Linked DNA regions of Drosophila melanogaster. The protein of the gene in region 1 interacts with the protein of each later gene in a pairwise test. Each region holds a gene or a part of one and is shown on either strand. Other genes may lie near its edges.

Region 1 (5,463 bases):
ACAATTATATAGGCATAATGCAATTGGAAATGCTTCGAGTGGAAAGAAATCACCTAACAAATACTTGAATTAATCTAATCTTATCCTGAAATAGAAGCAGCGCCAAAGGCTTCGTTTTGTGAACGTGTTACAAATCAAATAAAAATTTATGAAAATTTAAAACTCATTGTTTTCGGTACTTCAGAATCAATGATGTGCATTGCAATGCCATGCAAGTTTAATAACATTCCAGTTACATATAAATATGTATATGGCATGACTTCTCGTCCAGTTTTTTTAGCATTGCAAAGAACATAAAAACTAATCAAAATAAAAATCGTGGTTTTGTTCATCTTCATTATTGAATGGAAGTCTCGCTCGTGCTTTTATCTGCATTTTTGCTACGATCGCTCAATCCCTTTTCGCGAGCTCCAAGTACAGTTTCAAGGATAATGGTCTTCGTACTGTTGATGGTGTCCTCGAAAAATTTGGCATCTGCGTTCTTCTCCTCGGTGATATACTCCAGCTTCTCTGTCAGCATTGTGATTTTTTCCTTGGCCAGTTCAAGACTGAAAATATAAGTAGTTATAGTTGATTAAGCGATGGGATTGCCGTGTCCGAACTTACTTATTCTTTAGATCCTCTATTCTGGGCTCAGGCTGTCCTGCCGAATTCAGCGTATTTGTGGACTGGTACTGGGACTGATTTTCGAAGCAGAAGGAACCAATCGATCCGTTAAGAGAAGTGCGACTCAGCGAACTGGCGTAGTCGGCCATTCGCTGGGTGCGTTTCTTCTTATCGGACTGCACATCGAGTTCCTTCTCCAGGTCCCTGATCTTGACCTCCAGTCGGCTGATACGGGCCTTTAACTTGCCAATCTGCTCCTGAGCTGCTTCGTTCTTGGCTCTCTCCGTCTCCAGACGATCTCCTAGAGTTTTGGTGAGCAACATAAGCTGATTTTTCTCCACCTCTAGAGCATCCAGGATGCCCACAAATTCCTCCTGCGGAATATAATTAAGCAAATTAATAGCTTATGTTTTAGTGTACAGAGTTTTACCTTTCGAAACTCGCGGCAGGAGAAGAGGAATCCGCCGGATAGGGCGCGCAGGTCCATTTCCAGCTTCTTGATCATATCCTGCAGACTGGCCATGGCCACATCCTTCTGCTTGACCACCGTCTGCAGCTCCAGATGCATACCGCTCAGCTCTTCCATTTGCCGGCGCGAAAGATCTCGCTCCTCGGTCACCCGGACCAGCTCGCCGCGCATGTCGTCCAAACGGTTCTCGTACTGAATCCTCTGCTGGTTCAGTTTGTCATTCATGGTATTGATATTGGTGCCATTGAAGTCGGTCTGCTCCTCCAGCTCATTGTATAGAATCTTGTACTTGTTCATCTCCTCGTTCAGATTCTTGTTCCTCACCTTTAGGGCGAGTGTCTTGCTGCGTTGATCCTCCAGTTGGTTTTGCAGGCTAAGAATCTCCTTTTCCAGAGCCTCCACCTTGGCTCGATGAAGAATCTCACTTTTACGCACACCCGGTGTAAAGCGATCGAAGCTGGCCGTTGTGGCTCCGCCGCCATCGCCTCCACCTAATCTCTCAGAGCTGGCATGATGTGATCGACAGCTGCCGGTTACCAACTCCAGATCCGAACCCAACGGCACTGGGGCAGCATATTCGGCTCGATCTACGGCTCGGTCCTCGTAGAAATCCAAGCGAGCCTTGAGCTCGTGCACTTTCTGGTTGAGCGCGATGATCTGCTGAGCACGACCGCGCCAATTGGCCTGATTAAGATTGTTGGCCAGGATGTTGATGTTGCAGCTCTCACCGATCTCGTGCTGCAGGCACTTTTGGGCCAGTTTCAGTTGGCTTTGTAGCTCGGTGTTCCTGTTTCGCGTTTCGAAGAGCTTCTGCTGCATACTGTTGATCTTGGCTTGGAGCTCATCGGGGGAGCAGCCCTTTTTTGGCAGATCCTGATTATGCTGCAGCTTCTCCTCGTGCGCACGCAGCTCCTTCTCCAGCTTCTCGATCTGAGCATCCTTTTTACCCAGCCGACTCTTTGCCTGCTCCAATTCGGAACGCATCTGGCGGTTCTTCTTGCTCAGTTCCAGGATTTTGGTGCTGGCAATGGAGGAGTTGCAGCGCAGCTCATCAATGGGCACGGAGTTGAGCACCTCGTTGAGCGAATCAACCGATTTCTTCAGGTCGGATATCTCCTGATTCTTCTCATGAATGGCCTGGGCCAGTGACTGCTTCTCCTGCTCGCATTCGGATAGCTTTTTGCGCAGCTTTTTGGACTCCGGCTTTGTTGGCTTTGGTTTTACCACAGCGGTGGTCAGCACCACATGGGCAGCGGCCATGGCATCATGGTCATGCCGACGTCGAGAGGAACGGCCCACTTTGCACCCCAACAGCTCCTGATCCCGATGGGCTACATACTCTTCCGGCAAAGTCTCCATCGCAATGCCCTCTAGTTGTTCACATAAAAATATACACAATTGAATCTAACAATTTCGTTGGCTGGGCGAAAATAATTTGTACGTGTGCCTGTTCTTGTTACTAAAATATTCACAAATTTTGGTTGTCATCAGTTGTTTCTAGGTTATTCAAATTTAAACCTCATTTGAAACAGACAAATCAAAGGCAAGGCAATTTTTAAATTTGGAACTCTTGTCATAATCAGGATTTCTTCAATAATAGGTAAGTTAAAAATAAACAGAGTTTCTGCAATAATAAAATTGACATTGACAATTCTTTTCTTGATCTTTCCAAACTGTTGTTTTATTTAAGACAGGATAATTTACATTTAAACCGTTATTCTTTTTTTACATTTACATTATTTTATTTTAAATACCCCAGCAAAGTACGGCCAACGTCAAGCAAGCCAGCCCCCCATGTGTTTCAAATTATAATTTAAAATATAATAATAAAACAACGATAACGGCTTAGCTAAAATTCAAAAATTTTAACAGTTTTTCTAGATAGTTTTAACTGTATCTAGCTATTTATTTTGTGACTCGAGTTGGCAGTACTGTTTAGTTGGTATAATTTAGCGGTCGCAATATGGTCATACTAAAGTGACGTGTAAGACACGAAAACAAGTGAAGATGGACGGATTTATGATGGTAAATTGCAAAATACACAAGTAACTGGCTTAAAATCAAACCCAACATGTGCTGCAGGATATCATCAAGGGCATGTGCATCATGGACAACGATGGCAACCGCATCCTGGCCAAGTACTACGACAAGAACATCCTGTCCACGTTGAAGGAGCAGAAGGCCTTCGAAAAGAATCTGTTCAATAAGACGCACCGCTCCAACACGGAGATCATTATGCTGGACGGACTCACCTGCGTGTACAAGAGCAACGTGGACCTCTTCTTCTACGTGATGGGCAACGCCTACGAGAACGAGCTCATCCTGCTGTCCGTGCTCAACTGCCTCTACGATTCCATTAGCCTGATCCTCAAGAAGAACGTTGAGAAGCGCCTGGTGCTGGAAAACCTGGAGATCATCATGCTGGCATTTGACGAGATCTGCGACGGAGGGTGTGTATTAGCGTATACAGTGATGGATGGAAAGAACAAGGGACCAAGTTAAAGCAGCTTTCATTAGCAGCAGTTCGTTTAGAAAACATCAAATTATTACTACACAAGTTCCCATAAATAACATTGTTATTTACTAGTCTATGAGTTAGGCCAGCTCAAGTGAAGCCTCTAAGTAGTTAACCGCATTTAAAGCTTCCTTTTTTTTAACAAAACCTAGTCAAGTCCAATGAAAAGTTATATGATAACTGCGATGTTAGGGTATAGGTACAAAAGTTTAATTATATAAATCAAACTAAATATTAAAATATATTAAACTTAAAGATTAAACTAATACATACGAGCACTGGCATCCTAGGCATGCAGCTCGTATAAGTTTTTAAGTTTATAGGCTGAGCTTTAGAAATCACCTGAGGTACAAAAAGATATACTTTGCCATTCATCACTGTATATTATGCATTACATATTATTAAATACAAATATTCTATTTAAACCTTTACCCGTTTTCCAAATAGCATTATTCTGGATGCGGATCCCTCGTCGGTGGTGAAACGCGTTGATCTGCGCAACGATGACATTCCCATTGCCGAACAGACCGTTGCCCAGGTAACTAACACCCTTAATGGTCTATTTTGGTAGTCTAACTACTTGGTAGCTCTTCTAAGTGTTTATAACTCAATGGTAGCCGTTTGTACTTTAATTTTGTCTGGTTTCGTTTCGCAATTTGATACCCTGCAGTCAAATATATTCTCATTTAGTTTTACCCGCCCTATGAACAAATAATTAGGCTCTTTGTTTTTCAAGACTATATGTAGTTAGTAACTGAGTTAATATAAGTTTACAAGCTTTACACATTTGCCTAGATTTATTTGTTATTCGCATTTTTGTTTAATTACGATCTATTTTCAGTTTCAACAAAAGTGTTTAAATGTTGTAAAATTGTACCTATTTTAATGAATGCTTCCAGATAATATTACTTATTACAATTTAAAGTAGTTGTGTCGGCGTAAATTTCTTTTTACCTTTTGTACATGTTACCGAATTTCGATTACTTTTCCCCATATCGCCCCATTCATTGTACTCCGAGAATGTTCAAAATAAAATTGGTGAAAATGTTCTGGAACTTCGCGCTCATTTTGATTTGTTTCATTAGCTAATTGATCGAAATTATTGCCGAGTATCTGTATCTATATATGTGTGTGCTATCTATCTTTTAGGTTCTGCAATCGGCACGTGAACAACTCAAATGGTCCATTCTGAAGTGATGTGAAATGGGGTGGCGGAAGAGAGGAAGCCACTTCCGTGCCGCGTTGTCGCAATACATTCGATTCTTCTTTTAGCGCCCACTTGTTTTCGCCTAGTTGTAAAGCATATAATAATACATACATTTAACTGGAGAGCACTGCATGTTTTAATTTAGCATTAAACTACTAACTCGGTGTGTCATAGAGTAGCCAAAGGCACCGACGGGCGATTGGAGCTGCCAAGTTCCGTTTGCGCCACTATAAATCTTTTGTGCGTGGTATGCAATCGAGTTCTTAGATAAGGGAAATCACCTGAATAAACAAGGACTGTATTTAGGCAAATCTAATAAAAGCTTTGAAGACTTTCCAGACTAATACTGAATGTATTAAAGAGTATTCCCAGGTTCGTTGCTATCGAGCTGCTATGGCTTATCGCAGAACTTTATGGTGTTACTGAAGTCCACAATAATTCTTATTTTGCTTAATCGATGAAGTAGCGCAAGTAGCCATATAATGCCAGAACTGACCCATTCAACGCAACGCAGATCGGTCAGTATTACAATAAGATAATGCAGGCAGGCATTATGTTGCAACTGACAGCGCAATCACCAATCATATGCAGATGGGGTAAATCGAAACCACTTGTCTCCAGATACGAGGATAAAGTATGTCGTAAACCCACGTGACCAGCTGGTGT
Region 2 (5,463 bases), on another chromosome or scaffold:
GTGGCCATTCGGGATGCGTTCCGTGGATACTGTCAGGCCGAGCTGCAGCCGCGCGTCAAGATGGCCAATCGCCTGGAGACGTTCGACAAGAAAATTATGGAGGAGATCGGCAGTCTGGGTGTCCTCGGCTGCACCATTAAGGGATACGGCTGCGCCGGAGTCTCTAGCGTTGCCTACGGCTTGCTCACCCGCGAGGTGGAGCGCGTGGACTCCGCTTATCGGTCTGCTGTCAGTGTCCAGAGCTCGCTGGCCATGGGCGCCATCTACGACTTTGGATCCGAGGAGCAGAAGCAACGCTATTTGCCCAGCATGGCGGAGGGCAAGCTGATTGGTGAGTGCCAAATGAATAAAATCATATTTTAATGAAATATTGAGTGAATTATATAAAGTCCCGTAGTTTATATGTGTTCTCTTTAAACGAATCTCAATTTCTTTACATATTTATTCAGGTGCCTTTGGCCTAACTGAACCCAACCACGGTAGTGACCCCGCTGGCATGGAGACCCGTGCCAAGTACGATAGCAAAAGCAAGACATACATCCTGAACGGATCTAAGACGTGGATTACTAGTGCGCCCATCGCAGACGTCATAGTCGTATGGGCAAAATGCGAGGATGGCAAGGTACGCGGCTTCCTGGTGGATCGCAAGATATCCGGCAAGGGTTTGGAGACGCCAAAGATCGAGGGCAAGTTCTCTCTGCGTGCTTCGCCCACGGGTATGATCCTGATGGACGAGGTCCGTGTGCCAGAGGAGCAGTTGCTACCCAATGTGGCCGGCTTTAGTGGACCCTTCAGCTGTCTGAACAACGCTCGCTATGGAATCGCGTGGGGAGCCCTGGGAGCAGCTGAAACCTGCGTGGAGATTGCTCGCCAGTATACACTGGATCGCAAACAATTCGGTCGTCCTTTGGCTGCAAATCAGTTGATCCAAAAGAAGCTGGCCGATGCCATCACAGAGATTGCGTTGGGTCTGCAGGCTTGCCTGCATGTGGGTCGCCTCAAGGATCAGAAGCTGCACACGCCCGACATGATTTCCCTTCTAAAGCGAAACAATACTGGCAAATCGCTTGATATAGCGCGCCAAATGAGGGACATGCTGGGTGCAAACGGAATCAGCGACGAATATCATGTGATCCGCCATGTAATCAACCTGGAGTCAGTTAACACCTATGAGGGCACGCACGATATACACGCGTTGATCCTGGGCCGAGCCATCACCGGACTGGCGGCATTTGCTAACTAATGTACTTGTTTCGAAAATCATAAAGTACTGCATTTACCAATTTGTTTTATGTCGAAGTGTCAATGTGAATAAATGTTAATCAAACCGAATTCGGTTCGGCGAGGAAGGCTGTTACATCTTTAAGTTTTCCTAGGCTGATAAGCTGATACGCGTAATCTGATCCATATATCATCTGATAAGATTTTTGGATGTGGATTTACTCACCTCCGCCTCATACTGCTCGGCTCGCCGCACGGCGTGTCCCAGCTCTGTGTTTGTTTCGGCCAGCAACTTCTTTAGCTTGGCGTGCGACATCTTCACCTCGCTGATCTCCTTGTTGCGCTCCGAAAGTTCCTGCTGCAATGCTCGCAGCTCCACGTCATTAGCTTGCATGGGTCGGCACTTACGGTCCGAACGTTCCTGATAATCTCGCAGTTCTGCGCGCAGTTTCTTGTTGTCACGCTCCATGGCCAATTTCTCGGACTCCAGTCGCTCGCGCTTGCCCCATTCGGAGGCGTTCTCCGCCTGAAGGTGCTCCAGTTCAGTGCGAAGCTCCGTGAGGCTGCAATGAATCGATAGTTACACTCTTGTCAAAGTACAGAATGCGTATTTGCTTACCGGCGCTCGAGATTCTCACGGGCAGCAATCTCCTCCTGCAGCGAGTTATTCACGATACGCATCTCAGCACGATGTTGTTCTTGAAGAGTTAATAGTTCACGCACTGCCTCCTGCTTGGCCGAGCGCATCTCCTCTTGACGTCCGCGCACGTCCTGGATCTCCAGCGTCAGTTTCTCAATGCTCTTGTGCAGCTCCAGCTTTTCGCTGCGAAAATAATAGAAATAATTAAAGTATTATTATTGGAATAGAGATTACTCACTCCCTTTCCGCTTGAAGAGTTTTCTGAGCCTCGTCGAGGCGCAATTGCAGCATGGATATCTTTTGCAGCAAGTAGTCTTCGTCAAAGTCATCCTTTGACAATTGCTGAATCAGGCGCTTCTCCTCGGCAGCCGCCGCTTCGTCCAACTCGGTCAGATGTTTGGGCATAGCCCCCTTCATAGCGAACTCCTCAATGTCTAGATCCTTGACATCATTGGGCAGCTTGGTAACCAAGCCGTCCTCGCTATTGATATTCTTTAAGCCATCCGAGGAGATATCCGGCGAGCAGTTGGCATCCCGTCCGTTGGCCTCCGCATCCTCGCTGGTGTCGGCTCGATGGAACTGACCGGCGTGCTTCATCATCAGCGTGTGCACTTTCTCCATCTCCTTCTTTAGCTGCGTGATCTGCAACTCGAGATCGTTCTTCTCCCGCTTCAGCGAGTGGGCCTCCTTCATGACGCCGTCCAGTTTGAGGCTCAGCTGCTTGGACTCCTCTCTGGCCTTATTCCGCTCGTTGCGGACCTGCGAAAAGTGAAAAGTTTTGTTATTGGATACCGGCGATATTGACCCAACTTTAAAGCCATGGCAACCAAATTACCTTACTCCACTTCTCCCGCCAGTTGGCAGTGCAGTCGGACCTGGGAATGGTTGATGTTTGGATTAGCAGATAGTTTTGAGCACGACGAGCTGCTCCACTTACCACCACTTCATGGTTTTCTCCATCTGCGCCGCCCGTGCTCGAGCTTCGTGCAGTTCCCTCTGCCGCTGGGACTGAATAGAAAATGGGAGTTTATGGGAAATGATATAAAGCATCACACTCCGATACGCACCTCCCGAGCCTCCCATTCTGTTTCTCCATATCTAGCCGACATGGTGGTCCCGATGACGCCCACGCCGCCCACTTCATTGCGTCTGCTGCCACCCGCCGGTGCAGCGGTTACACTTTGCGTTGTGGATGCTGTCTGCGACATTTTGCTGGTGTCCTTTCTCAAGTCCTGCTTGCTGCCCTAAGTACCACACAACTACCTAGCTGATCTGTTGCATCGTGGGAGTGTTTTTGCAATATTTTGGACCAAAGCTTAATGCGAATACAGAAAATAAAATTCGAGAATGCGAACAGCTGTTGTTGTTTACTAGTCGCTGTGAATGGCCAAACTGCATGGTGTAGGGCTGCCAGTTGCTTTTGAAAGTTATTTAATTTCAGTTAATTGTTAAAAAATATTATTTGTATCTATATTGTATTATCAAATGTGGTAAATAATATTTTTAAAAAAAAATTAATTTTTTCTTTATTCAAGCCATCATAGAGTTTAATGAATGCCCTACATGATAATGCTGACCACTTGGCAACCCTGAAAGCGAGAGTGTGTAAAGGTCACACTATAAAGAAGTCGCCGCTTTTTCAGCAACTGTTTTTATATTTGCTGACTGAAAACTAATATTAAATCATGGCCAAACATCATCCGGATTTGATTTTCTGCCGCAAGCAGCCCGGCGTGGGTGAGTTCTCAAAAAAACCCGTTGAAAATCCCAGACAATCCAATAATTCGAAATCTCTCGCCATCTCATGCGGCAGCCATTGGACGCCTGTGTGAAAAAGACGATGGAAAGTGTGTGATCTGCGACTCCTACGTGCGGCCATGCACACTGGTGCGGATCTGCGACGAGTGCAACTACGGATCCTACCAGGGCAGGTGCGTCATCTGTGGAGGACCCGGAGTGTCGGATGCCTACTACTGCAAGTCCTGCACCATTCAGGAAAAGGACGTGAGTTCGCAAGTCATGCATTCTGGTGCATTCTGTGGTATTATTGTCCATTTTGGTTCTTATAGCGCGACGGATGCCCCAAGATTGTAAATCTAGGCAGCTCCAAGACTGACCTGTTCTACGAACGCAAGAAATATGGCTTCAAACAGAAGTGAGTACCCAGCACAGCAGTCAAACATAAAAAATCCACCCTAATACTTTGTATTATCTTTACAGCTATTAATCTGCTCTCCGCTACCTCAATACATTTCTAATAAATTTTTATTGTAGTTTAATACATGAACAAAAGGTTTTGTTAATTTGGATATTTGGAATTTTTTCTTATATCTAGACGGCGAGCAGTTTTTCACCGCCCTCGACGTCGTACTGCAGGCACAGGCGGTCGAACTCCGCTGACTTCTTGTCTAGATCGGTGACAAAGTCGCTCTTGGGATAGAACTGCCTCAGCTGTTCTAGATTCCGGGTGATCGCCTCTGTCGGCTTGCCCGTAAGATGGGCATGAACCATCAGATTGATCAGCGTGTCGTAGTCGTTGTGCTTCTTCAGCAGAGATTCACGCAGAACGGAATCTGCCTCCTCGTACCGCTCCAGACCCAAATGAACGACCGCTTGGCCGTTCAGCAGCGCCGGAGTTGGCTTGAACTTTTCACAGAACTCCTGGTAGATGTGAAAGGCGTCCTGCATCTGTTCCGTTCCCTGGGCGAGGGCCACCCACGCCTGAGCGAGCTGAGTCAGCGTAGCATCGTCGCTGATCTCCTGCATCTTGGCCACCAGCTGCTTGGCCAGGTCCACGCGCTGCAGACGCAGCAGGCACTGGACCGACAGAGCCATCGACTCCAGATTGGTGGAGCCGTGCAGGATCTTCAGTGCGTTCTCGAACTGCCCGTCGTGGCAGTAGACGATGGCGGTTGCAAGGTGCCAGATGTTGGTCTCATCCTCCTCTCCGGCCACCTTGTCCGTGAGTTTCTCCAGCAGCTCCTCCGTCCTCGAAGGCTGCTCAAAGGCTTCGTGCACCAGACGCAAGGCCTGCAGTGGCGTGGAGTTTCCCTCCTTGATGTCCGAGGCCACGATGCGCCCGGAATCGATGGCCAAGTAAGATAGGTACATGTAGGACAGGAGCTCCGGACCCGCGGTACCCTGCTCCGGCAGCACGAAGTTGATCGAGCCCATGAAGTTACCGATGTAGTACTCGTTGCGGGCATCGAATAGCACCGAGTTGGTGTCCTCCTCATTCTGCTGTCGGCTCATTTTCGTAAATATTATTGAATTAGATGGAAAAACCGAATTCTTTTCGGCTGAGTTGGCTTATTTGTGTAAACTTATCGGTGCCTATCGTACATCGATACCAGATACGTTGTTATCGTCGAGTTGTCACAGAGTGACCATTGCATATAATTTCACATATTGCATCTGGCAACGCTCTTTTTTGCTAAAAATGTTGTTTTTCAATAGTTTTTTTATTTTTAAACTCTTTTTTAGCCTCAAGAATTTTTTACATCCCTTTTTATATAGTAAAAACGTAGTAAAATTGCAAAAATGTAAGGTTTTGTTCTTAAGATTTAATCTTGATAACTGATTTGAAATCTCTAAAAATAAGT
Region 3 (5,100 bases), 7.7 Mb from region 1:
ATAGTCTTAACATGTACATATATCCATTTAAGTCTGAGGTGACCAGCATGATCCACTGCCAGTGCCTGTGCATCGATATGCGAGGTCATGGGGACAGCAAGGTGGACGACGAGGACGATCTCTCCGCTGATACGTTGGCTAAGTGAGTTGAATCCAAAAAAATATTGTTCTCAAAATATGTTTTAGAGATGGTTATGCAAATTTTTCTACTGCTTACATTAAAAACCAATATTTTTAAGATTTTGTCGAGTAAAACTTCTCGCATTAACTCTTAGCTTTATGAACGATTAGGCTAAACTTGCATAATCTCTTTATTTATAAAAATAGCGCACTGCACTTAAAGTAGGTCGATCTATTTGAACGATCACTCATTTGTAAATATTATTTAGTTTTTTATAGTTACTTTATTCACGGTTGAAGCTAAAAACCATAATAATCTAATCTATAATCTATAATAATGTTTAAAATATTCTAAACAGGGACATCGGTGACTTAATCCTGAAGCTCTATCCTGAAGAAGTGCCGCAGCTTTTTGTGGTTGGCCACTCGATGGGCGGCGCCATCGCCGTCCACTTTGCCCACATGGCTCTGGTGCCCAATTTGATTGGAATAACCGTCATCGATGTTGTGGAGGGCACAGCCATGGAGGCACTAGCCAGCATGCAGAGCTTTCTGCGCTCCCGTCCAAAGTATTTCCAGAGTATTCCGAATGCTATCGAGTGGTGCATCCGAAGCGGCCAAGTGCGCAATGTGGACAGCGCCAAAGTGTCCATGCCGGGACAGATAATAAAGTGAGTAGGATTGTCGTAAACGACAGAAAAGTAATAATAAATCAATCCCACGCAGTTGTACAACGAACAAACTGGCAACGAATGATCTGCCATTACCAGATGATGTATTGGAGGAGGCCCACCACAACAGTATGTTTCCCAATCCGTTTAGCATTTCGGAGGATGAAGAATCGTCACCGCCGGGCGATGACGCCGCCGATGGCTCCTCAGAAAGTGCCGCAGCTGGCGCGGATTTCAAGAAGCCCAACACGACCAAATCGACAACCGAAGCGGCCAAAAAGTACGTAGTCCAATTTATTTTATTTTAGTTAAAACACAAATTATTCATTGATTGCTTCTCAGTTACACCTGGCGCATTGATCTGTCCAAGTCGGAGAAGTACTGGGTGGGCTGGTTTTCGGGGCTGAGCGATAAGTTCCTTAACTTGCGCCTGCCCAAGCAACTACTCCTCGCCAGCATCGATGGACTGGACCGCACCCTGACTGTTGGCCAGATGCAGGGTCGCTTCCAGATGCAGGTCTTGGCCCGCTGCGGTCACGCCGTGCACGAGGACCGTCCACACGAGGTGGCTGAGGTGATTAGCGGCTACTTGATCCGGAATCGGTTTGCAGAAGCAGCCAGCGAATTTCGTTGCCACATGCCGTCGTGCTAAACACAACCACCCCCTGAATCCGAGGTTGAGCACAAACTGAGGTCACAAAAGTCTATTTTTGAATGGAGGTGCATTACTCTTTGAACTTACAGATGCGTGCATATATATATATATATACAAAATGTAGTGCGTAGGTCCAGATATATACAGCCGTATATTCTATATACACATAAACTAATAATCCAGTAATTTATTCGGTACTTTTAATTAAACCACTTGAATTTTCAACATTGTACTTTATACTCATTTTGCCAAAAATCTAAGGTCTAAAGTGCTTGCGTTTGGGCTTCTTGCATTGTTATAATGAGTGTGTATTAAATATGTGCCAGATCAAATGAAAATTTAACGAAATCCAAATTATACGAATGCGAATAAGTTGAATAAAGCTATTTATTAATCGAGTGTTACCATAAATTCCCATTAAATTCAAATGAATCTTGGAATTTATTTATTTGGTTTACTCGTCGTCTCAATCATGAAATCATGAAACTTTAAAAACAGGATAACACATTTAGTCCACGAAACGGAAGCCGCCATTGGACTTCATCTTCATCTTGGACTCCAGCGCCTGAATGCGACGCAGACGTTCGGCAATCTGATCTCGAATCTCTGGACGATACTTCTTACCCTGGCCCATGGACTCCATTTCCGTCAACCACTCAGCACGCTCGTTGATTTGGTCCAAAACTGTAGGAGCATGCCAACTCAATGTATAATTCCGCTTTATTCCGCTTAAGAAATATTCCAACTTACGCTCGTTTATGAGATCCTCCTCCGTCACCAGTTGCTCTTCGCGAGGACGACGTCGCGGCTTGATCGCCGGATCGGGCAAATGAGTGCCGGCCATGGTGAACTGCAGCTGCGACTTGGCCTTCTCTCCATGCATTCGGTTGTCGGCGGGCGGGCGGTAATAGCTCTGCTTGTAAGCTCCGCTCGCCTCGATCTGCCGCAGATTCTTACGCTTGGCATTGCGTGCCCGATCCAAAATGGCCAGTGTTTCCTTGTCCGGATCGTTGTTGGTATTGGGACGCGGCGGTTCGGGCAATGGCAATGGCTCCCCATTGCGCAGGCTCTCATCGATCTGCTTGCGTACCAACATCGACATCTTGGACTCCTTGACAAGCACTAACAAGGGAGGTTATAACGAAGCGGAAAATGTACACGATTATCTTTATGGATGGTCCTCTTATCCTCTTATTCCTTAGATATTTGGCATGCCCAAAACGCACTTACATCGGATCAGATCAGCTGTCTCCTTGCTATATTGCACCTTGGCCGAGTGGAAGGCTCCAGCACCGCCAGGAGGAATGCGTTCACTGGGCCACATGGGCAGCTTCTGCGAACCGGGCTGTCCGCCATCCGCATCCGGTTCGTGGTGGGCCATCAGACCACCGGGCAATGCCTTGATCTGCACGTTGTTGAAGCGATGTCGGCTCATTCTGTAAAGCTAATAATTTTTGCTCCGGAAAAGTAAGGCTTGTATATACTATAGAAAATCGCTTCGATAATTTCGTTTGGTGTGTTTGAAGGCTAGCCTCGGTATGAAGTTGTTTTTCGCCGGACAACAAAAGTGGAGACGCATGGCAACCTGGGTTGTTAGGTAAACAGCATGGGTATTTTTAAATCTCGAAATAATTTATTGAAAATAAATATATGTAGGTATTGTATGTGTGTATATGTGTGGGTAGGTACACGCTTGGTTTATGCTCGCATTATGATAATTTTGCGAACATTTAACTGACTTATGCACATTCGTCTACGAGTAGTTGCACTTTTACAATAAACCATTTAGTTTGTGGATCGTTTTGAACTCGCTAAAGTTTGACAATTAGGTTTCGATTATCTTTGTATCCCAACTGGCCGTACAATAGGTTTTTATTATTAAATAAAAGCATCTGCGATTTACAGTGTTGCGGTTGTTGTAAACAAACAAATCTTGGAAATATCGACGAGAAATTAGAAAACAAAAACATTTCCAACCAAGATTTTTACACATGCATTTGTTCGTTTTTATACATTTACAATTAGACTACACGTTTTTACGCTCTTAAGGTAAATATTTTTTGGCTGCCTTCTTTTTTCCAGCTTGGCCCATCGTCGTTTTTTGTTTGAACCTAAGCTTAGCGACATACATTTGTATATATAAATATATATAATTTTTAAAAAAACAACTAAAACATAACATATCGAGTGATTGGCTTGCCATTTACATTATAAACAATTGACTAAAGCAAACATAATAGTAATAGTAGAGATAATCTAATCAATGACAATGGTGATCATGATCGGTATGCAATACATGGATTTGGCTTACGCTTAAATATGCAAAATACAATATGTGGTTCCGATTCTCAAACACAAACAGTGAAACATTGAAACTCTTTTCTGTTAAAGTTTAGTCTAGTGGTAGTTTCCGCCGTTGCGATTTCCTCTGGTGCAGTTACGGTTCAGCAAATATGTTCCTTTTAATTTAAAATAAATTATGTGTACGTGTATATATAAACATATTCATTATGTGACTACTACTTCATTCAGCAAGCCTAGTTTTGATTCGCGCAAACAATTATCAGCTCTCGTTTCTCAATTCTCACTTTTCAATTCCCTCTCCATCCAGCTTTCTTCCTTCTAGTTTTTATAGTTGCGAAAAGTAATCTTAGTCAGTCTCATGGTCACGATGCAGAGTTCATTTTATAATTTTTTACTAGATAAACCATTTTTCGTCGTCGTTCAGATCGGGGTATTTCTTTCATTTGGCGACGTTGTTGATAGTGAATGAAATAGTTGATGTTGTGATTGGGGTTTAGAATAGCGTAAAATGTTGATCAAATTTGGCCAAATTTTCCTAGGTAGAGAGAAGTTACTGTATTCTGTTGTTGCGATCTGTGTGTGTGTGTGTTGTGGGGCTTGGCTTGTTAGTTTAACTACATAAATGGCGACAACATTTACGAAACCTATACATTAATAACATTGACAGTAAGATGCCACGCCCCCGCTGACAACCGACATGGGATTACCGTCGGGGAGTGCAGCATGGGCTCCACAAGTTCATCGGCCAGCCGTTGGTCCTGCGAGCCCGAGTCAATTGATCATATCTTTGGGGGCGCCTTGGCATACAGTTAATAAACTTAACATTAAAACAAACTATCGTCTTACTAACTAAAAACGATTACAGAACGGGATGTGAAAGGAGACGCAGGGTGGACAACTTGACGCGACACAAAAATAGACACGAATCTTAAATATCTAAATATAAAAACATTTATGTTCGTTATGAAATCAAACATCAAACACGGCTCAAAGCTAAATGAACACAAAAACAGCTGGCAGCCTCAAATCTAACGCCATTACATGATGATTTCAAAACCCAGATAGCCCTGAATCTTGCTCAGTTCATTGCCTGTTCAGTCATTTGGCGACACAACGTCTCCAGCTGTTCTAGGCTCTTAAAGTCGTTCATCTTGTACTCGGTGACGTGGGGCGACATGCCCAGGCTGCCCAACGGTGACTGGGACAGGCAATGGTCTACGCCATGATTGTTGTTCTTGCTGCTTTGGTGACAGATATTGTGGACACAGGCACCACCACCACCATTGGAGCACAGACAGCTGCCACTGCCCACGGCGGCAGCAGCTGCTGCCAAAAGTTGCAACTGTTGCT

Evidence for each region.
Region 2: the proteins of CG13032 (region 1) and CG31638 interact in a two-hybrid assay, tested with the Drosophila melanogaster proteins (one large-scale study listed by BioGRID).
Region 3: the proteins of CG13032 (region 1) and CG5280 interact in a two-hybrid assay, tested with the Drosophila melanogaster proteins (one large-scale study listed by BioGRID).

Annotation. Positions count from the first base shown.
Region 1 is NT_037436.4:16,671,119-16,676,581, reverse strand, and holds CG13032 (uncharacterized protein), read right to left. Parts: upstream 2,619-5,463; 5' UTR 2,435-2,618; coding exon 1,037-2,434; intron 981-1,036; coding exon 607-980; intron 549-606; coding exon 338-548; 3' UTR 318-337; downstream 1-317. Other genes in the region: zetaCOP (coat protein (coatomer) zeta), read left to right, coding at 3,083-3,100, 3,158-3,525, 4,038-4,128, 4,740-4,787.
Region 2 is NT_033779.5:6,488,841-6,494,303, reverse strand, and holds the start of CG31638 (uncharacterized protein), read right to left. Parts: upstream 3,244-5,463; 5' UTR 3,070-3,243; coding exon 2,929-3,069; intron 2,870-2,928; coding exon 2,799-2,869; intron 2,737-2,798; coding exon 2,697-2,736; intron 2,621-2,696; coding exon 2,100-2,620; intron 2,045-2,099; coding exon 1,841-2,044; intron 1,785-1,840; coding exon 1,448-1,784; intron 1,331-1,447; exon of another isoform or gene 1,244-1,330; coding exon of another isoform or gene 450-1,243; intron 332-449; coding exon of another isoform or gene 1-331. Other genes in the region: CG9547 (uncharacterized protein), read left to right, coding at 1-331, 450-1,243; Phf5a (PHD finger protein 5a), read left to right, coding at 3,547-3,598, 3,675-3,865, 3,931-4,016, 4,082-4,088; epsilonCOP (coat protein (coatomer) epsilon), read right to left, coding at 4,193-5,113.
Region 3 is NT_037436.4:8,987,253-8,992,352, forward strand, and holds CG5280 (uncharacterized protein), read right to left. Parts: upstream 2,977-5,100; 5' UTR 2,882-2,976; coding exon 2,677-2,881; intron 2,569-2,676; coding exon 2,197-2,568; intron 2,131-2,196; coding exon 1,955-2,130; 3' UTR 1,817-1,954; downstream 1-1,816. Other genes in the region: CG5068 (uncharacterized protein), read left to right, coding at 33-142, 480-791, 847-1,071, 1,134-1,443; smg (smaug), read right to left, coding at 4,829-5,100.